Linked DNA regions of Callithrix jacchus. The protein of the gene in region 4 interacts with the protein of the main gene of each other region in a pairwise test. Links are inferred from orthologs where the notes say so. Each region holds a gene or a part of one and is shown on either strand. Other genes may lie near its edges. The genes, in order: SYNJ2, ARHGAP31, RALBP1, RAC1 and RAP1GDS1.

Region 1 (3,514 bases), on a different chromosome or scaffold from region 4:
GTCAGCGAGGCTATGACGTTTGGTAGGTTAGGTGTATTAGATGCAGGTTTGACATGGTAATTTTCAACTTATGATGGGTTTATTGGGGACATAACCCCATTTTAAGTCGAGGAACATCTGAACGGGAAAAAGGGGGACGAAAAAGGTCCACTTTGTAAGGAGGCATGGACAAGGGATGGATGGCAATGAGCCAACGTGGGATGGAAGAGCAACCCAGGAACTACAAAGCAAGTGCTGCCAAGAGTGAAGCCAAAGTCACTGCTCACACTCCCTTGGGGGAAGCGGCGCCACGCTGGGATGACCAGGGAGGGATTACCGAGGGTCCGTCACTAGAACACTGAGATCAAACGGAAGATCCAGATGTGTCTACAGATGCCAGTCTTTGGGCTGCTACTGTCCTTACAAACTCATGTCTTTGAAGCAGTAAGCAAGGCTGAGAAGCTTGAGAGCGAGAGCAAAAAACAATCTGCAAGAAAAGTGTCAAGAAAAGCTGTGGAACCTCACATAGACCGAGGCCACACGAGAGCCTGGAACCTGGCAAATCTGGGAATCGGTTACTGTTTTTCTAATGCCTTGAAACCACGTGCACACAACACAGACCACATGCAAATGCGCGGTACCAGAACACGAGGGGAAAAGCATCCCACTGTGTTTCCCTCTGGGGATCCAGAACACTTAGGAAGCATAATACCTCCAAGCTGTTCTCGTCACACTGACAATCTGCGAAGACAGTGGACCCCTTGTTCTTCTCAGCCAGAGCCAAGACACAGTGGGGCATGAGGGAGGAAGCAGTCGTCAAACCCTTCCCCAAAGACACGCCTGTGTCTGGAACTCATGAACAGAGGATGTCCATAGGTAACTAGATTTTTTGTCTGTGAGACACAATTCTTATCTATCAAGATATCCGAGCGACTTAGGAGTAAGAGGCTTTATGTTACCAGGCTGTTACCTTTCCTGTCCTTCTCAAGGTTGGCTTCTTGATGGCAGGAACTCTGGGTGGGGGGCGGCGGGGCAGGAGCGGGGGTGCCTGTGGGGTCTCTGGTTTGGCTGCCCCTGGTATGGGCTCTGGTTCAGAGGATGCTTGGTCCCTCAGGGCCATGGTGTTGAAGGCTTCTTCTGAGGCACCTGAAACATAAAACCACATGGCGGCAGTGTCAAGGGTGAGGTAATTCACTGCATGATTTCCTCTTTAGACAGTCTACATCCTAAGGGTAATTTACTAATTCAGTGTATTTCCGGACTAACCAGCTAGGTTCAGTCCCAGCTTTTCTCACTATTTATTTTTTAAGGTGGGATTGTGCTGTGTCACCCAGGCTGGAGTGCAGTGGTGCAATCACGACTCACTGCAGTCTCAACCTCCCAGGCTCCAGTAGTTCTCCCGCTTCAGCCTCCTGAGTAGCTGGGATTACAGGTGAGTGCCACCATGCCCAGCTATTTTTTTTTTTTTTTAATTTTTAGCAGAGATGAGGTCTCACTATGTTGCTGGAACTCCTGGGCTCACGCAGTCTTACCTTAGCCTCCCAAGTAGCTGGGACTATCGGTGCGAACTACCATGCCCAGCTAATTTTAAATTTTTTGGGCAGGGCACGGTAGCTCATGCCTATAATCCCAGCACTGTGGGAGGCTAAGGTGGGCAGATCATGAGGTTAGGAGTTCAAGACCAGCTCGGCCCACATGGTAAAACCCCATCTCTACTAAAAATACAAAAAGTAGCCAGGTGTGGTGGTGTGTGCCTGTAGTCCCAGCTACTCGGGAGGCTGAGGCAGGAGAATCACTTCAATCTCCTCCTCTGGGAGGCAGAGCTTACAGTGAGCTGAAATTGCGCCACATCATGACAAAGTGAGACTCTTGTTATAAATAAATAAAATGAAATAAAATAAATTTTTGCCTTGACCTCCTGGACTCAAGCAATGCTCCTGCCCCAGCCTCCCAAAGTGCTGGGATCATAGGCGTGAGCCACTGCGCCCTGTAGCCCCAGCTTTTCACATTCACCTTCCTAGCAGGGGTGGTGATCTGGGGTCTGTGGATAGTCTGGATGTGGACCAGTGAGACCCTGAGACCATATGCAAAGTCTCATGTGTACTTACATTTCTCAGGGGAGATGATCCACATACATCCAAATCTCAGTGGGGCCATGACCAAGAGCGTGTTAAGCTGAGACTGCAGGTAGATTTCAAACCTCTAGTAACGTCTACATCACTAGTTTTTGTTTTTTTAAACAGCTTTATTGTGATATAATTCACATACGGTGAAACTGACCCTTTTTAAGTGTACCCTTCATTGTTTTTATTATATTCACAAAGTTGTGCAACCATCACTACCGTCTAACTCCAGAACATTTTCATCACACAAAAAAGAAGCCCCACACCATCAGCAGTCACTCCCCACCCACCCCTCTTTCCAGACCCTGGGAAGCACAAAGCGCTTTCTGACCCCATGAATTTGCTGGCTGTGGCCATTTCATAAAAAGGGATGGTATACTATGTGGCCTTTATTGTTTTCCTTCTTTCTTTCACATAGCAAAATCTTTCCAAGGTCCACCTATGAGGTAGTACGTATCAGCACTGCGTTCTTTTTCAATGGCTTAACAATATTCCATTGTATGGATGGATCACATTTTGTTTATCCATTTATCAGCTGATGGAAACTTGCTTTGTTAAATCCATAGTTTTAGTTATTTTTCTAAAATAAAAAAAGAAACCATTTGTGGCAGTATTATTCTATAACAGTAGTTCTCAACCTTTTAACGCATGCCCCCTTGAATATTATTTGAGAATTCCAAAGCAGTTAAACATGCTGACTAAAAGCAAACTAGGCAATGGTGATTGCTCACACCTTTTCAAAGGGCACAGTCAGCTGGGCATGGTGGCTCACGCCTGTAATCCCAGCACTTTGGGAGGCTGAGGCGGGTGAATCACCTGAGGTTGGGAGCTCGAGACCAGCTTGGCCAACATGGTGAAACCCTGTTTCTACTAAAAATACAAAAATTAGCTGGGCATGGTGGTACGTGGCTATAGTCCCAGCTACTCAGGAGGCAGAGGCAGGAGAATTGCTTGAACCTGGGAGGCAGAGGTTGCTGGGGTTGAGCCACTGCACTCTAGCCCAAGTGACAGAGTGAAACTCAGTCTCAAAAAAAAAAAAAAAAAGGACACACTCTCTTCTTGCCAAAGGAGATTCTGGAACAAAGCCAAGGCCAAATGTAAAAGTGTAAATTACCAGTGATTATGAACGAAGTGGGGAGAGGCCAAGCTGACTAATGTGGGTTCAGTGAAGTAACCGCAAGAGAAAACAGACAGGATGGTAGGAAAGAGGTCCCTGCCTGACACTAAGAACTTTACTTACACTTGCCAGCCATTTAAAAGGTAGATTTTATGCCTGAAATTAGGACAAACACTATAACTTTGTCTTTTTTATAAAGCTGGCAGAATGACTTAGTGCTGGCAGCATTAACCTGTTTTTAAAATTCAATTTAGTTTATTTCAGTTTATCCTCTAGATGCTGCTTAAGAGCCCTG
Region 2 (4,234 bases), on a different chromosome or scaffold from region 4:
TTTCTTCAAGAGAAGCCAGAAATTCACATCTTATGTGAAATCTCTTATCTTTTTAATGCTGGCTACAAATTTTAAAACATTTTAAAGCCTGGTGTCTGCCAGCCAAGCACATCTATGGGCCAGATCTGGCAGGCTGGCTATCAAGTTCTGACCTCTGACATACAGAAAATGTCAAGGATCAAAGTTCATAAACTGTTAAGGTGATACCTAGAGAGACAGTGACTACAAAGGGATTTAGTACCTAAAATGCTACAGATGCAGCTTTGCCAGCAATCTGAACCCTGAATGCCCCTACCCTTCAAGACTGTATATGGATTTGAATTTATACAGGAAGTTTCATCTAATCCTCAAATGGTTAAATCACAAGAATTTGAGTGCTTACTGTGTGCTGAGTACACAAAAGTCAAGGAATTTAGAATCTAACTGGAGAAAGAAAAACATGCCCTCCTGAAACAACTTGAGACAAATTATGAAACAACCTGGGAGACTGCTTTCTTCACATTTAAGATGTCAGAGGCACCTTAAATCCTGGTTTGTCGCCCACCCTCCCCCCATCACTTCCATTTAGCACCAGAAATCTGACTTCCTGGGCAGCGGTTACAAAGCTGCAGCCTCTCTTTGCCCAGAGGTATCTTTACCCCAGTGTGGGAGGGGAGTGAGCCGGGGTGGGGGGTGCACGGACGCGGCGGAGGAGGAAGGGATGGGAGTGCCCGGCGTGAAGCCACACTGCCTGTCAGGTTTCTCCGCCGCCGTCCCGTCGACCGGCGGGCACCAAAATAGAAAGTGTCAAAGATACGATGACAACGAGGATAAAACCAGGGCAGAGCGTTCCGAAAGTCCCATCCAGCACGGTCCCCGCAGAACGCCAGCGCACCTCCTCCTGCCGCTTCAAAGAGCCGGCTCGGCGGGGCAGGAAGCGGCGTCTGCGGCTGCGGGTCCTGAGAGGAGCGCGCGATTTCCTCCCCGGCTGCCCAGTTATCTCTGGAGCCGCTGAACAGCTCTCGGGAGAACGCGTTCTCTCCCCCACCCCGTGCTCCTCAACCCACCCACCTACTTCCTCCGGCTCCACACACTCACAAGCGCGGAGCTGCCAAAAATTTCCACCCTCCGCCCCCCTCCCTAGCTAACTTCCTTCCAGCGTTTCCTGAGCTGGATGATCCTAGGATTTGTAAGACAGGAAAAAAAGGAAGGCGTGAGGGCGGGCAGGAGGGACAGGATGCTTGTTTTTCGCTCTACCAAAGCCGTCTGAAGGCGAGACCGCGGGCCCAGGGCGCAGGACCCGCCGCAGACCCCGGGCCGTCTCCTCGCCCCGCGCCGCTGCCTCCGCGCCGCGTCCTCTCCAGGGCACTCGAGAAGGCGGGGAGAGAGCGCGCCCTCCCTCCGAGGCGCAGGAGAAACGCCCGAAGACACCGCAGGAGCCTGTGAAAGTCCCTGGGACTCCCAGTGAGGAAGTGACACTCCCAGGCTAGCCGGCCCGCGGCTGCCAGTCTGCACGGCCTCGGCACGGCGGCCCCGGAGCGGCGCGGGGTGGATCTCAGGCTCTGCCGGCCCGCGCCCCGCGGGGTCCATGCGCAGGGCCCCCCGCCCGGCTCCTTCCGTCCTGTCCTCCGATGCGGCCTCCCAGAGCCGCGGGGCAGCCGGTGATCTAGCCCGGGAGCCAGTCTTACAGCGGTGCCAAGCAGAGGGGCGGCGGAGACGGAGGGGCAGCCTCTTTGGGACTAACTCATGAAGAACAAGGGTGCCAAGCAGAAGCTGAAACGAAAGGGAGCCGCCAGCGCGTTTGGCTGTGACCTGACGGAGTATCTGGAAAACTCGGGACAGGATGGTAATGTGCCTTGCTTGGCCTTTCCCCCCTTCTTTTTGTTTGAGGGAGAGATGGACTGTCTTGGGCTGTGTTAGAATCGGTTCACAAGTTAATGTATTCCAGGCCTGTGCGCTCATTGTACTTTTTTTTTTTTAAAGAACGTAAACGATTCTTAAGGTGCACAGGGCTGCTGTCCCGACGCGCAGAGGCAGCTGTGTCAATCCTTCCGTTGTTTCACATAAGCCGTTAATGGGTGGTACTGCCTCAAGTTTACCCGGCCACCTCTGGCGATGGGGGTGGAAGCTGCAGAGATCCAGATCCTAAACTTTGTGTGCTGGAAGGGAGGGAGGAGGGTGGACATGTGGGATGGTGATCAGTGGGCTTCCCTGGGTACAGAATCATGACCGCCTTTGCTGTCCCTCCTGGGCTCTCCAATTTCGTTTGCTCACATCTTTTTTTATTATTGTGTTAGAAGGCAGTTGGGGGTGGCGGGTGGGGGAGGATCCTGGCTGAAGGAGTGGTTGCACAAACATTTCTGAATTTCTGAGCTGATGCCAAATATATAGTACCTCCACCCCCATTCCACAACCCCCCAAGACCTTTTCCCTCCTCTTGGCTTTCAGATTAACATTTGGTGTGTTAGACAAGAAGAGTGTTGTAGAAAGGTCAGAGGGCCTTGATTTTTAAATAGTTTAGGGTAAGTAGAGAAAAGGAAAACTTCGCTGTTTTCAAGGTCAGATTGGGGGAAAAAATGTGGGGAGGGGTGAATCCATTGGAGACAATTTAAACATTTGTTGGGGAAAGAGGAAAGAAAACTATGTAGATTTCAATAACAGCGTTTGAGCTTAGAAGCGTTTAATCATAGGAAAGTTGGAAAATTGAGCATTAAATGACTCCTTTTGCAAGGTTGACTGGTTTTGCACTTACCCATGACAAAAAGGCCTTGTCTTTAGAAGCTTCAGTGAGAGGGAAAGTAGCCTAATATATGGGCCATGTGTTTATACATAGATAGATACAACAAAGGGGAAAACATAAGGGCTGTGTAACTGTGCAGAATTATTCTGCCCCAGGAAAGTAATCTCAAAAACTATTTGATTAGTCCATATCAAATATGCATTTGAAAAACAGTGCAATGCTTTTGTTTCACTTCCGTTTTTTTGGGAGACTCAGCACCACCTAGTAATTTGCAGTGGTGTGATATTCCTGTGGTATTCTAGAGTTCAGTCTGCTGTGTCATTAGGACAAATGGCTTAGTATTTTAGAGCTTGGAGAACTATTTCAAAACTGACTCTTTTGAAATTGATACATAACTGAATGATTCATTGAATCCTCACCAACCAGCTGGAGAGGTAGATTTGAGATAAAAATCACTTGGTTTGAGTTTTTTTGGATGTGAGGGAACTCTAAGTATGCCTCTTACTCACCATTGTCACAAGTTTACAATGAAATGTTTTCCTTCACCTGTTGTTGTAGGGGCCTTCAAGTTAACCTCCAGGCACACTAGGAATGCTCCTGGGATGCTACCTTTCACCATGTGGGTGTTATTCTGGCCCCTCCCTCAAAGCCATGAGAGTTGTATAGGGGCGCTTGCCAGCCCTGTTCATTCTTACAAACTAATAGATCATAGAAAAAGCCAGAACCCCAGGGTTCTGTGAAGATACCTCAAAGGCAGCCTTAGACAGCTGTTCTTTCACCTGCTTTATATTTAGGGCTTCTGGATATGTTTCATTTAAACCAAAAAAAAAAAAAAAGAAAAGAAAAGGACTACTGCTTAAAAGAATGGCAAACCAGTACCCAGTGCTCCCCACCCTGGGGAGGAGGAAAGAAAGTCCAGAGGGGTCAATTGGACTGCCTAAGGTGATACAGCTGATGATGAGGGATCAGAGGGCCCTCCCTGGCCTGTTAGGTTCCTCTGCCCTCACTGGCTTCTATGTCTAAGCCAACATTCTCTTCTAATGATATTTTCCCCCTAAATTGAAAGCAGACAGCCCTGCTACAGGATCAGCAAACTTTCAAGTTTGAGATGAGAGTTCAGCTTTGAAAGGAAAGGCAACTGACCCACTTAATGATCCACACACCGTTATTGTGCTACACGGAAATTACACATGCATAATAAGCTGCTTATGTAAATAAGAGTAATTAGAATTTATTTTTTTCCCACAGCTAAAACTAGTTGAATAGTTTTTTTTTTTTTTTTCCTGTGTTTGCTATAGTGTAGCATCTATGAACAAAGTCAGGGCTAATAATTTTCTCTAAAGTAATGTTGCTTTTTTGTGGACTTTCTGAAACATGTATTGGTTCATAGACAAGGCCTGGACTCTGCTTCTGGGAGGAAAAGCTGAGCTGGGCACTGGCCCATTGCCCACCACCTTGGAAGATCAGCCCAGAATGCTGAGGGTGCCAAGTCAGTGTGGTAACTGGGAGCCAGGG
Region 3 (3,514 bases), on a different chromosome or scaffold from region 4:
GTCCCAGCTCTGTTCAGATTAAAGGTATACTTAAAAAATCCAAACTTTGAAATAGAAATTAGATGTGGATTGTTTAATGGAGAATAATCTTCAAAGAGTTTGTTTGGGTAGCTAACTCACCTTTTGCAGTTACAGTACAATATTTACACATGTACAGTATTTACACATAAAAAGTCATTTACCCACAACTTTTTGGAACATACTTATGTACACCAAGTTGCATTTTTTGTCAGTCTTGTGACTTGTTGGAAAAAGCAGTTGGCTGCCTGTGTAAAGCAAGACTTACACTTGGATTGTAGTGTGTCTGACTTTTACCTTTTTTTTTTTTTGAGACAAGAGTCTTGCTCTGTTGCCCAGGCTGGAGTACAATGGCATGATCTCGGCTCACTGCAACCTCTGCCTCCCGGGTTCAAATGATTCTCCTGCCTTAGCTAGATTACAGGCGCCTGCCACCATGCCCAGCTAATTTTTGTATTTTTAGTAGAGACGAGGTTTCACCATGTTGGCCAGGCTGGTCTTGAGCTCCTGACCTTGTGATCCGCCTGCCTTGGCCTCCCAAAGTGCTGGGATTACAGGTGTCAGCCACCGCGCCAGGCCACACCTAATCACTTTTACATTAAAAAAAAATTCATGAATTGATGGGCATATTTGCGTAATGTATCCATGGTTGCTTTGACTTTTGTTCTGAATGTTGAGTTTTTCAATTCTTATTTAACTTTTGGTTAAATTCACTTTTGAAGTGTAGTTTTTTGGGTTTCCTTTTTTAGATGGAGTCTCGCTCTGTCACCAGGCTGCAGTACAATGGCATGATCTTGGCTGACTGCAGCCTCTGCCTCCCAGGTTCAAGTGATTCTCCTGCCTCAGCCTCCCAAGTAGCTGGACTATAGGCATGTGCCACCATGCCTGGCTAATTTTTATATTTTCAGTAGAGACAAGGGTTTCACCATGTTGGCTAGGCTCATGTTGGACTCCTGACTTCAAATGATCTGCCTGCCTTGGCCTCCCAAAGTGCTGGGATTACAGGTGTGAGCTACCACACCCAGCCTATTGTTAATTAATTTTTTTATTTTTTGAGACAGTGTCTTACTCTGTCCCCCAGGCTGGAATACAGTGGCACAACTATGGCTCATTGTAGCCTCAACCTCCCAGGCTCAAGTGGTCCTCCCAACTCAGCCTCCCACAGAACTGGGACCACAGGTACATGCCACCATGTCCAGCTAATTTTTGTATTTTTTGTAGAGACAGGTTTTCACCATGTTGCCCAGCTTGTCTTGAGCTCCTGGGCTCAAGTGATTCGCCTGCCTCAGCCTCTCAAAGAGCTGGGGTTTTTGGGTGTGAACCACTGCGCCTGGCCAAGTGTTGTCTTACACGTTGGTGTTTACAGAGGAATTGTATGACCTTTGTGCAGATAAATATTTCATAGGAAGAGGTTTGTTATTGTTCAGGTTGCTGTTCTCAGATCCCTAGCAAGGGTGTGTGAAATGGTGAAGAAAGCTTGTGTGTTTTATTTTATTTTCTCAGTATCTTCTCTCTTCTGAATTTGAATGTTTTAAGGAATTAAATCAAAGGTGGATGAGCTAAAAGCAGCCTATGACCGAGAGGAGTCTACAAACTTGGAAGAATATGAGCCTAACACTGTAGCCAGTTTGCTGAAGCAGTATTTGCGAGACCTTCCAGAGAATTTGCTTACCAAAGAGCTTATGCCCAGATTTGAAGAGGCTTGTGGGAGAACCACGGAGACTGAGAAAGTGCAGGAATTCCAGCGTTTACTCAAAGAACTGCCAGAATGTAACTATCTTCTGATTTCTTGGCTCATTGTGCACATGGACCATGTCATCGCAAAGGAACTGGAAACAAAAATGAACATACAGAACATTTCCATAGTGCTCAGCCCAACTGTGCAGGTACATGGTCTTCTCTACACACATCCCCTCTAGTACTGACACTGGGGAATCGGAGTACATTTTCTATTGCTGAGTCACATGTAAAGCAGTGAACTTGAGAAGATAGGTAATGGATTAGCTTGAATACAGGTCTTTTTCTTTCATAATGTGGACAGTGTCAAGGTATAAGATAATGAACATACTTGCCCTTTAGCTTGTAATGATGTAATGTGAATATGGTATAGTCTTTGATGGGGGTTTATAAATAAGGCCTGATGACAGGGATTGTTTGTTATTGGAGCAGGAGCCCATGGCATCTACAGTTAGAGAGTTCATGTGTAGAATTTTAGAGATGCCAGTTATTTCATCAAATAGCATTATTACTTAATTATATCACAAACACGCATCAAACTCAAGCACAAAAGGACCTAAAATTAATTTGTTTGGTCAAATATTTAGCCTGAGGATTTCATTCATAAGGATGGATCCTAGAGGGACATGTTACAGGCTCTGAATCTGAGAAGGTACTTCAGGAAATTGGGTAATATGTTAATTGGTATCTTTTTACAACATACACGTTGACCTTTCTTTGTTGCTGCTCAATTGGTGCTGTCATAGAGTATATGTTTTCCTTTAATTAGAGTTAATGATGTTTTGCTCAGGCCAATAAAAGGGAGATGATAGGTTATATTTATTATCTTAAGCCCTCTTTTTGGCCAGTATTCTAAGTCACCATAAATGACTGTTGCTGTTATGAGAGTGTGTTTTTATTTACTAAAGAGTCTTTCAGTGAGGCACAGTGGCTCACACCTGTAATGCCAGCACTTTAGAAAGCCATGGCAGGAGGATAGTTAGAGGCCAGGAGTTCAGCTAGGCAACATAGCAAAAAAAAAATAAAAAATTAGCTGGGTGTGGTAGCATGTACATGTAGTCTCAGTTACTTTGGAGGCTGAGGTAGAAGGCTTGCTTGAGCCCATTAGTGAGCTATGATCATGCCACTGTACTCCAGTCTGGGTGACAGAGCAAGAATCTATCTCTAAAAAATAAAGATTCTTTTGTTATTCATTGATTACACTTTGAAAGCAAAAGTTTCTCAGATTTTAGTTTGGTCATATTAGGATTTCAGGATCTGGTAAATATTACATTGATACTTAATATTACTGTAATATAGATGATCGTATCATAGGAGAGCCAAGTGTGTTGTAAGAGTTAAGTTTTAGGTAGGAAATAATTTCTTATATTAGCTTTTCAGTCATCCTAATGCTCTGATCTTCTAGCATATGAACATCCATACGTAAATTGAGCTTTCAACCTCAATCCAGCTTTACTACTGTAGTTCTCTGGCTTCCCTCACAGTCCTCATTCAGCCCATTGTATCTGTAAAAGATCTCAAAGTAAGTTGAAAATAAAGAACATAAGATGTTTTAGCCGGGCACCGTGGCTCACGCCTATAATTGCAGCACTTTGGGAGGTTGAGGTGGGTGGATGATTTGAGGTCAGGAGTTTGAGACCACCCTGGCCAACATGGTGAAACCCTGTTTTTACTAAAAATACAAGAAAATCAGCTGGGCATAGTGGCACACACCTGTAATCCCAGCTTACCAGTAAGGGAGGCTCAGGCAGGAAAATCG
Region 4 (4,303 bases):
GCCCGGGGCTTCCCAAATTGTTGGGATTTCAGGCGTGAGCCACCGGGCCCTGCCAGCAACAGTTTTTGTTTTTTGTTTTTGTTTTTTTTTGGCTGAATGGACATTGTTATTGCCAAATAAAGGTATGGTGTATGATTTTAGACTTCCTTATAGTTTTAGAATCCGAATTTTCTAGAAGGATCTAATGTAATCGCAGATAGTTATCAGATAAAGAATGAAACAGGAGGAATCAATGCCTTCTGATGGCCTCAAGCAGGTGTTAGCAACAGGGAGCTTGGCTCCTGCAACCACAGGTTCCTCTTTTTTTTTTTTTTTTTTAAGATGGAATCTCAATCTGTAGCCCAGGCTGGAGTTCAGTAGCACGATTTCAGCTCACTGCAACCTCCGCCTCCCAGGTTCAAGCCATTCTCTGCCTCAGCCTCCTGAGTAGCTGGGATTACAGGCACCTGCCACCACGCCCGGCTAATTTTTTTTTTGAGACGAAGTTTCGCTCCTGTTTAGCGTGCAATGGGGCGGTCTCAGCTCACCACAACTTCCGCCTCCTGGGTTCAAGCGATACCCATGCCTCAGCCTCCCAAGTAGCTGGGATTACACGCATGTGCCATCACGCCCGGCTAATTTTGTATTTTTAGTAGAGACGGGGTTTCTCCATGTTGGTCAGGCTGGTCTCGAACTCCCTATCTCGGGCCACCAGCCCGCCTCGCCCTCCCATCCGTATTTTCGGGCCTCCCGCCCGCCTAGGCCTCCCATGCCTATCTCGGGCCTCACAAAGTGCTGGGATTACAGGCATGAGCCACCGCGCCCGGCCTAATTTTTGTATTTTTTTTAGTAGGGACGGGTTTTCACCAGCGTTCGTTTCTTCCCGGACGCTGGTCTCGAAATGCTGACCTTGTAATCCACTTCGGCCTTCCAAAGTGTCAGGTTTACAGGCATGAGCAACCGCGCCCAGCTACTACAGGTTTTTCTTTCCTTTTTTTAAGACGGAGTTTCGCTCTTGTTACCCAGGCTGGAGTGCAAATGGCGCGATCTCGGCTCACCGCAACCTCCGCCTCCTGGGTTCAGGCAATTCTGCCCCAGCCTCATGAGTAACTGGGATTACAGGCACACGCCACCATGCCCAGCTAATTTTTTTGTATTTGTAGTAGAGACGGGGTTTCACCTTGTTGACCAGGATGGTCTCGATCTCTTGACCTCGTGATCCACCCGTCTCGGCCTCCCAAAGTGCTGTGATTACAGGCTTGAGCCACCGCGCACTGAACCCCAGAGAAAGGACCCGCAGATCCCGCCACGCCTATGCCGCGTTAGCGCGCAAAGATGGCAGCCGCCGCGCCCCGTGGGCGGAGACAAGCGGGCCCGAGCACTTCCGAGCGTTCCTGAAGCCCAGAGGAACTCCGGGAACCGCGCGGGCGGGAGCTGCCCCACCCGGAACCTGGGAGCGGCGGCGCCGGCGCGGGGGAGGGGAGGCCGGATGTGAGTGGAGCGGCCATTTCCTGTTTCTCTGCAGTTTTCCCCAGCTTTGGGTGGTGGCCGCTGCCGGGCTTCGGCTTCCAGTCCGCGGAGGGCGAGGCGGCGTGGACAGCGGCCCCGGCATCCAGCGCCCTGCCGTCCTCAAGCCGCGCGCCCGTCCGCCGCGCCCCGAGCCCGCCGCTTCCCGTTTCAGCGCCGTGCCGCTGCCGCCGCGGCCCAGCGAGCGGCCCAGATGCAGGCCATCAAGTGTGTGGTGGTGGGAGACGGGTAAGTGCGTTGCCGGGTCTGGGCTGGGGGCCGCGGGGGCGGGCGCGGGCCGGGGTGGGCGCGGGCGGGGGGCGGGCCGGGATTGGGGCCCAGGCAGGCCGGGATCCCTGGCGGGCTCGCGTAGGCGGTGGGCCTGGGCCTGTGGGGCACGGGGCGGGGGCCGCGGGCGCCGGCTGCCCGGGCGGCGCGTGCCTGGTTCCGGCTCTCGCTGGGGGAGGGCTTCGCCACTCGCCGGCCGGTGGAAAAAGTGAACTCCACCCTCCGGCTTTCTTCCCGGACGCCGCCCGCCGCCCGCCGCCCTCCCCGGGAGCCCTCGTAGAGGAAGCGCTCTTGGAGATTTTTACCGTTTTTCCAAAAAGGGACCCTCTCTTGTTTTTTTGCTTGAACCTCTCGATCCCTGGACCTCGAGAGCTGTGTTGGGAACCCGGCGGTTGAGTCGATCATATTTGATGCGTGCCCGATTGAACTGGCCGCTTTAGTGCCCCAAAGTTTTCTTTAAAAATTTTTTTTTTTTTTTTGCAGAGACGGAGTCTCGCTGTGTTGCCCAAGCTGGTCTTGAACTCCTCCTGGGTTCAAGCGATTCTCCCATCCCAGCCTCTCAAAATGCTGGGATTACAGGCGCCTACGCCTGGCTAATTTTTAAAACTTTTTGTAGAAATGGGGTCTCACTGTATTTCCCAGGCTGGTTTCGAATTCCTGGCTGGGATCAGGCGAACCTCCTGCCTGTCAGCCTCCAAAAGCGCTGGGTTGACACCGCGCCCGGCCCCCAAACTGATTTTTGAGCAGGTTTTTTCGACTTACACTTCTGCCACTGTTAGGATTCCTAAAATTAATGCTTTCTCCCTTTCCGAGGATAAAGTTTTTAAGATGCTCCCTGGCAGGAGCCATCTGTGATGGGGACTGTTCTTTTATCTTTCTTTATTTTATTTTATTTTTTTAAACGTGGTGTGGTCATTGAAAAAAAAAAAAAACTTTCTTGCTTAACGCGTTGGGTATGGGATGTAGCAGAACTGGCTCCTGTGACTCCAGGCGTTGCTTTTCATGACTGTCCGTGTTGGTTACAGGCCCTCGAGAAGGACAAGACTTGTTTTATGCCGTTTTTTTCTCCCATAGAAACAAAAATCTCAGTGTAACCCGAGCAAAATCGCGCGTCTCAGGCGTCGCTTGTATAGGTTAGTGTTAGCAAGGAAGAATTACTAACAGTTTCGTCAAACTCAGAATGCAACTGGTACATGTTCGAGTAAAGTCGAAGGAAAGTTAGGGCATCAAGGTTAACTTGGTTGATATTCTTCGAATTTGTCATTAGGTTTTGGTTTTATGCCTCTACGTCAATTCATGGATTCTCAGTGTATTTAGATAATTATACTGTTAAGACATTTGCAATTGTTTCAGTTATCCTTCTTGCAATTCAGATGCAAGAGGATAATTAGACAACTGATTTTTGTGAGAGGCCCATCTGTCGGATTTGTCTTGCAAGTGTGAAGGATTATTAACGCCTCATAATTTTATGTTTATATGATAACTAAAAATTGTAACTTTCAGTTAGAGTACGTATGCTGTTCAAGCTTTTTTTTTTTTTTTGACTCGGAGTCTCACTCCGTTGTCCAGGCTAGAGTGCAGCAGTGTGATCTCTGCTCACTGCACCCTCTGCCTCCCAGGTTAAAGTGGTCCTCCTGCCTCGGCCCCCCTAGCAGCTGGGATTACAGGCACGTGCCACCATGCTTGGCCGGTTTTTGTAATTTTAGTAGAGATGGGGTTTCGCCATATTGGCCAGGCTGGTTTTGACCTCCTGACCTTGTGATCCTCCTGCCTCAGCCTCCCAAAGTGCTGGGATTACAGGCATGAGCCATTGTGCCTGGCTGGGCTTTACTTTTTTATTTGGGAAAAGTGTTCAGTCAATTGATTGATAGTGACATCAGTGAATTGTTTCATTTAAAAAAAAATTTTCGAGACAGGGTCTCTCAGTGTTACACAGGTTGGAGTGCAGTTGTGCCATCTTGGCTCACTGCAACCTCCACTTCACCCGCTCAAGCGATTCTTAGCCTCCCGAGTAGCTGGGATTACAGGTGCCTGCCACCACGACTGGCTAGTTTTTGTATTTTTAGTAGAGATGAGGTTTCACCATGTTGGCCAGGGTGATTTTGAATTCCTGACTCAAGTGATCTGCCTGCCTTATCCTCCCAAAGTGCTGGGATTACAGGAGTGAGCCATGGCACCTGGCCCACCTTTTCTTAAGAACATTTAACATTATTTGGATTTCCTTTAAGCTAAAAACGCTGAATCAAGTTTTTTTTTTTTTGTTTGTTTGTTTGTTTTTTTTTTTGAGATGGGGTCTCAGTCTGTTGCCCAGGCTGGAGTGTGATAGTGTGATCTCGGCTCACTGCCACCTCCATCTCCTGAGTTCAAGCGATTCTCCTGCCTTAGCCTCCTGTGTAGGTGGTGTTACGGGCGCGTGCTACCACCCAGCTAATTTTTTGTATTTTTAGTAGAGATGAGGTTTCACCATGTTGTCCAGGCTGGTCTTGAACTCCTGACCTCAGGTGATCTGTCCACTTTGGCCTAGGATGAC
Region 5 (3,514 bases), on a different chromosome or scaffold from region 4:
TTTTTCAACTAGAGGCACATTAAGACTATTATATCAAAAATACAAGTTGGGGAAAACATTTCTTTTACCTTGAGCATCTATTAACATTCTTAATGTTCCCAGAAGTTTGAACTGAACAGGGGGCATTTCAGATTTAAGAAATTTCAAAACTGTCTCTGTGACCCCAGCTGATAACATCTTTGCTTTATTTATAACTGGAGAAAAAGAAAGACTATGGTTAAAAATGGTATTAGCATTCCTGTTGATAAACATTCAATTCAATACACATTTATTGTGTGTCTTTAAGATCCGTGTTATATTTTTCCATTTAGAAACAATCCTGTTACTTTTCTGTCAATTTTAAGAATGGAATCTAATGTTTGTGTGTCCCTCTCCTGTTTGTGTATAAGCGCATAACAGAAAATATACTTTCTCGCTTTTTAAACCCCATTCGAAACATTTACTTACAAAGAAATGTCTTCTTTACTTTGTAAAGAAAATCTGAAAATGTTACCCTCTTAGAACAAAAAAACACAATTCTGTTTTTGATCCAACTGTATTAATATAAATGTTACAGACATTAATAAATGTTACTATCCTATATAAACCAAGTTGAATTCAACTGGATTGGATCATCATATAATTATACTATTTCATCTAACCAGAAATTTACTTTTAGAAAGTAGAATAAAGAAATAGTTGTAACTATCTTTTGCATTATTTTCCACAATAATGTGATTTCATAACTTACAAAGACACATTAAGGCTATTTTTTAAAAACTGTCTGCTTACAGGAAAATAACAACAACAACTGAAAGTCATTCTTCACTAAAGATGCTTATGGCCTGGTGCGGTGGTTCTCACCTGTAATCCCAGCACTTTGGGAGGCCAAGGTGAGCAGACTGCTTGAGCCCAGGAGTTCAAGACTAGCCAGGACAACATAGTGAGATCAGGTTTCTACAAAAAATAAAAAATCAGGCTGGGCACGGTGGCTCATGCCTGCAATCCTAGCACTTTGGGAGGCCGAGGTGGGTGGATCACAAGGTCAGGAGATTGAGACCAGCCTGGCTAACACAGTGAAACCCTGTCTCTACTAAAAATACAAAAATTAGCTGGGCCTGGTGGCATGCACCTGTAGTCCCAGCTACTCAGGACGCTAAGGCAGGAGAATCACTTGAACCCAGGAGGCGGAGGTTGCAGTGAGCTATCACACCACTGCACTCCAGCCTGGCAACAGAGCGAGACTCTGTCTCAAAAAAAAAAAAAAAAGTTAGCTGGACATGGTGGCACATTCCTGTAGTCCCTGCTACTCAGAAGGCTGAGGTGGGAGGACAACTTGAGCCCAGAAGGTAGAGGCTGCGGTGAGCAAAGATTGCATCATTGCATTCTAGTGTGGGTGACAGAGTGAGACACCATCTCAAAATAACAACAAAAAAACAAACAAACTTAAGAAAGCTTAACTATACAACATGATGAAAATCTAAGAGTCCGCAATAGGTAATAGGATGTCTGAATGAAGGCAATGATTATTCTTGTACTGTCTCGCAAAACTTATTTGACATATGATCTCCACTTATTAGTATGAAAAAATGTGAACAATGTGAAGACTTTAAATTTTCTTCATCAAAGCGGGTTTACAAATCACATAACACTAAATGGCTTCCCCAAATGATGGATTTTACTGTTTACACAGCTGCCTTCTATTCTTAAGTCTTACCTGGAATGGCCAGGTTTCTGAGGGCACTTAGTGCTGCATGCTGTACTGTTACATTTCCATCTTCTACATGTCTGTCCAGTAAATCCATAAGTTTTTCTACAATCCCATTGTCTACCATATGAATACAATTTCCGTCTGAGAAAGAAAAAAACATTTTTTTTTTCTTCTTTAAAATTTCTATAAATATTTTACACTACTGACATCGGCCTATTATCTACATCAGGGAAAATGGAGCTATACAATAAAATGGATTCCAAATCTTTCTCCCATCAGATTTATAGGTTTTTCTGTTTTCTGAGTGACAAGTATTATAAAAATTCTTAAACTAGATAAAATTTAAAAAATCAGAAAAATTACCAGAAAAATCCTTAGAGATAATATGTCAGAAGTAGAAACATATGGTTAGAATGTCCAATATTTTTCATTTATTTTGATGAATGCTTGTGTTCTGCCAATGTTACAGTGATAGTACTCTACCTTTTGTTATCATGGCTGATACCTAATTTCTTTTTCAAACATTTGCAAAGCACACAGAATATTATAATGAACTATTATAAATTTATCCCATATCTAGTTTCAATAATTATCCATATTATGCCACTCTAACCTCCATTATTAGGGAGTCACTCCCAAAAAGAAGGAGTAAAAATGAAGTCAGCCATTATGATGTATACCAACAGTGTGTATTGAAAGACAATTAAACTAAAAAGAAAAATAACCAATATTTCCTAGACATAGTATATTTCCTGGGTAACAGAGAATGAGTTTCTAGACTGTATTTGAGTTTTTTAGGAGTGCCAGATTTCATAAACATAGAAGTCTGGTACCCCCCGAAATATTATTAAACTAAATTAAATATTCTACAGGAAGTCAGAGGATTACTCATACTTAAATTTTATGAGCTTAAAAGTGTAAGTTGAGGCACAATAATTCTAGAATGAATACTCGGATAATTAGATGCAAAATAAAATCACTAGGCACAAGAGAGCAGATGTATACTAGAATGGGATTCAAGCTTAGCTCTGAAGTACAAAGTACTCAAAAGAAGTACTTCATGACCTTTAAACCCTTAGAATTTAGTTGAATTGCATAACATACGTAATTTGTTAGGAATGTCACTATAAGTATTTCAGATTTCTGAAAAATTAAGTTAGCAGCATACACACATATTACACAAAGTTCTACATTGTTCCAGTTTAGTATATGTGATGGCAAAGCAAAAGTAAACGAATATGGAATATTTGACTAACAAAGAAGGAAATAATATGCTTACCATTTCTGGCAAAATTTGCAATTGCCAATGCTCCAGCAAGCTGTAGCTGGTGGTTATTTGATGGAATCCAAGAAAGCACCCTTTGAAATACACTGCCTTTTCCTCCTTCAAATAACTTCTGCATGGATTCATCTGGAGGTAAATGAAACAAATAGTTAGGCAAGAGAAAAGTAACTAGAAGTAACAAATTCATATTCTTGGGTGAATATCCAACAGGGAAACTACATACCTCAGAAAGTATTACATTCATAATGGGAAAAGTAACAATTCTTTTTATAAAATCTTTTAATAGTTACTAGACAACAGAGTTTAGCATCTTTCTAGTCCAAGTCTCAGGGAGCCATCTAGCTTTTCTTCAGTCCCTTGGTGACAAAACTGTCTCTTCTATGTGACAGCTCTTCAAATATTGGAAGATAGTGAAGACACTTCTTTTTTGGGTTCATTATATCTGGTTCTATCAATGATGTGTTTAAAATGTCAAAATCATCACCTCAACAGCATGTGAGATAGAAAAATGAGAAAATGCCTAGGGTAGTATTTACAGA

Evidence for each region.
Region 1: the proteins of RAC1 (region 4) and SYNJ2 interact in a two-hybrid assay, tested with the Homo sapiens proteins (2 studies listed by BioGRID and IntAct). The link is inferred for Callithrix jacchus from reciprocal best matches to the Homo sapiens genes RAC1 and SYNJ2.
Region 2: the proteins of RAC1 (region 4) and ARHGAP31 interact in a two-hybrid assay, tested with the Homo sapiens proteins (2 studies listed by BioGRID and IntAct, with this or other methods). The link is inferred for Callithrix jacchus from reciprocal best matches to the Homo sapiens genes RAC1 and ARHGAP31.
Region 3: the proteins of RAC1 (region 4) and RALBP1 interact in a two-hybrid assay, tested with the Homo sapiens proteins (2 studies listed by BioGRID, with this or other methods). The link is inferred for Callithrix jacchus from reciprocal best matches to the Homo sapiens genes RAC1 and RALBP1.
Region 5: the proteins of RAC1 (region 4) and RAP1GDS1 interact in binary tests that used the Homo sapiens proteins (3 or more experiments, as listed by UniProt). The link is inferred for Callithrix jacchus from reciprocal best matches to the Homo sapiens genes RAC1 and RAP1GDS1.

The regions. Positions count from the first base shown.
Region 1 is NC_133505.1:164,910,191-164,913,704, reverse strand, and holds part of SYNJ2 (synaptojanin-2), read right to left. Parts: intron 2,683-3,514; coding exon of another isoform or gene 2,675-2,682; exon of another isoform or gene 2,204-2,674; intron 1,126-2,203; coding exon 950-1,125; intron 467-949; coding exon of another isoform or gene 344-466; exon of another isoform or gene 267-343; intron 1-266. UniProt on the Homo sapiens protein: Inositol 5-phosphatase which may be involved in distinct membrane trafficking and signal transduction pathways. May mediate the inhibitory effect of Rac1 on endocytosis.
Region 2 is NC_133516.1:83,509,672-83,513,905, reverse strand, and holds the start of ARHGAP31 (rho GTPase-activating protein 31), read left to right. Parts: upstream 1-1,421; 5' UTR 1,422-1,725; coding exon 1,726-1,825; intron 1,826-4,234. UniProt on the Homo sapiens protein: Functions as a GTPase-activating protein (GAP) for RAC1 and CDC42. Required for cell spreading, polarized lamellipodia formation and cell migration.
Region 3 is NC_133514.1:53,424,153-53,427,666, reverse strand, and holds part of RALBP1 (ralA-binding protein 1), read left to right. Parts: intron 1-1,554; coding exon 1,555-1,904; intron 1,905-3,514. UniProt on the Homo sapiens protein: Multifunctional protein that functions as a downstream effector of RALA and RALB. As a GTPase-activating protein/GAP can inactivate CDC42 and RAC1 by stimulating their GTPase activity.
Region 4 is NC_133503.1:16,113,102-16,117,404, forward strand, and holds the start of RAC1 (ras-related C3 botulinum toxin substrate 1), read left to right. Parts: upstream 1-1,492; 5' UTR 1,493-1,699; coding exon 1,700-1,734; intron 1,735-4,303. UniProt on the Homo sapiens protein: Plasma membrane-associated small GTPase which cycles between active GTP-bound and inactive GDP-bound states.
Region 5 is NC_133504.1:99,093,662-99,097,175, forward strand, and holds part of RAP1GDS1 (rap1 GTPase-GDP dissociation stimulator 1), read right to left. Parts: intron 3,102-3,514; coding exon 2,970-3,101; intron 1,832-2,969; coding exon 1,697-1,831; intron 195-1,696; coding exon 69-194; intron 1-68. UniProt on the Homo sapiens protein: Acts as a GEF (guanine nucleotide exchange factor) for the Rho family of small GTP-binding proteins (G proteins) that stimulates the dissociation of GDP to enable subsequent binding of GTP.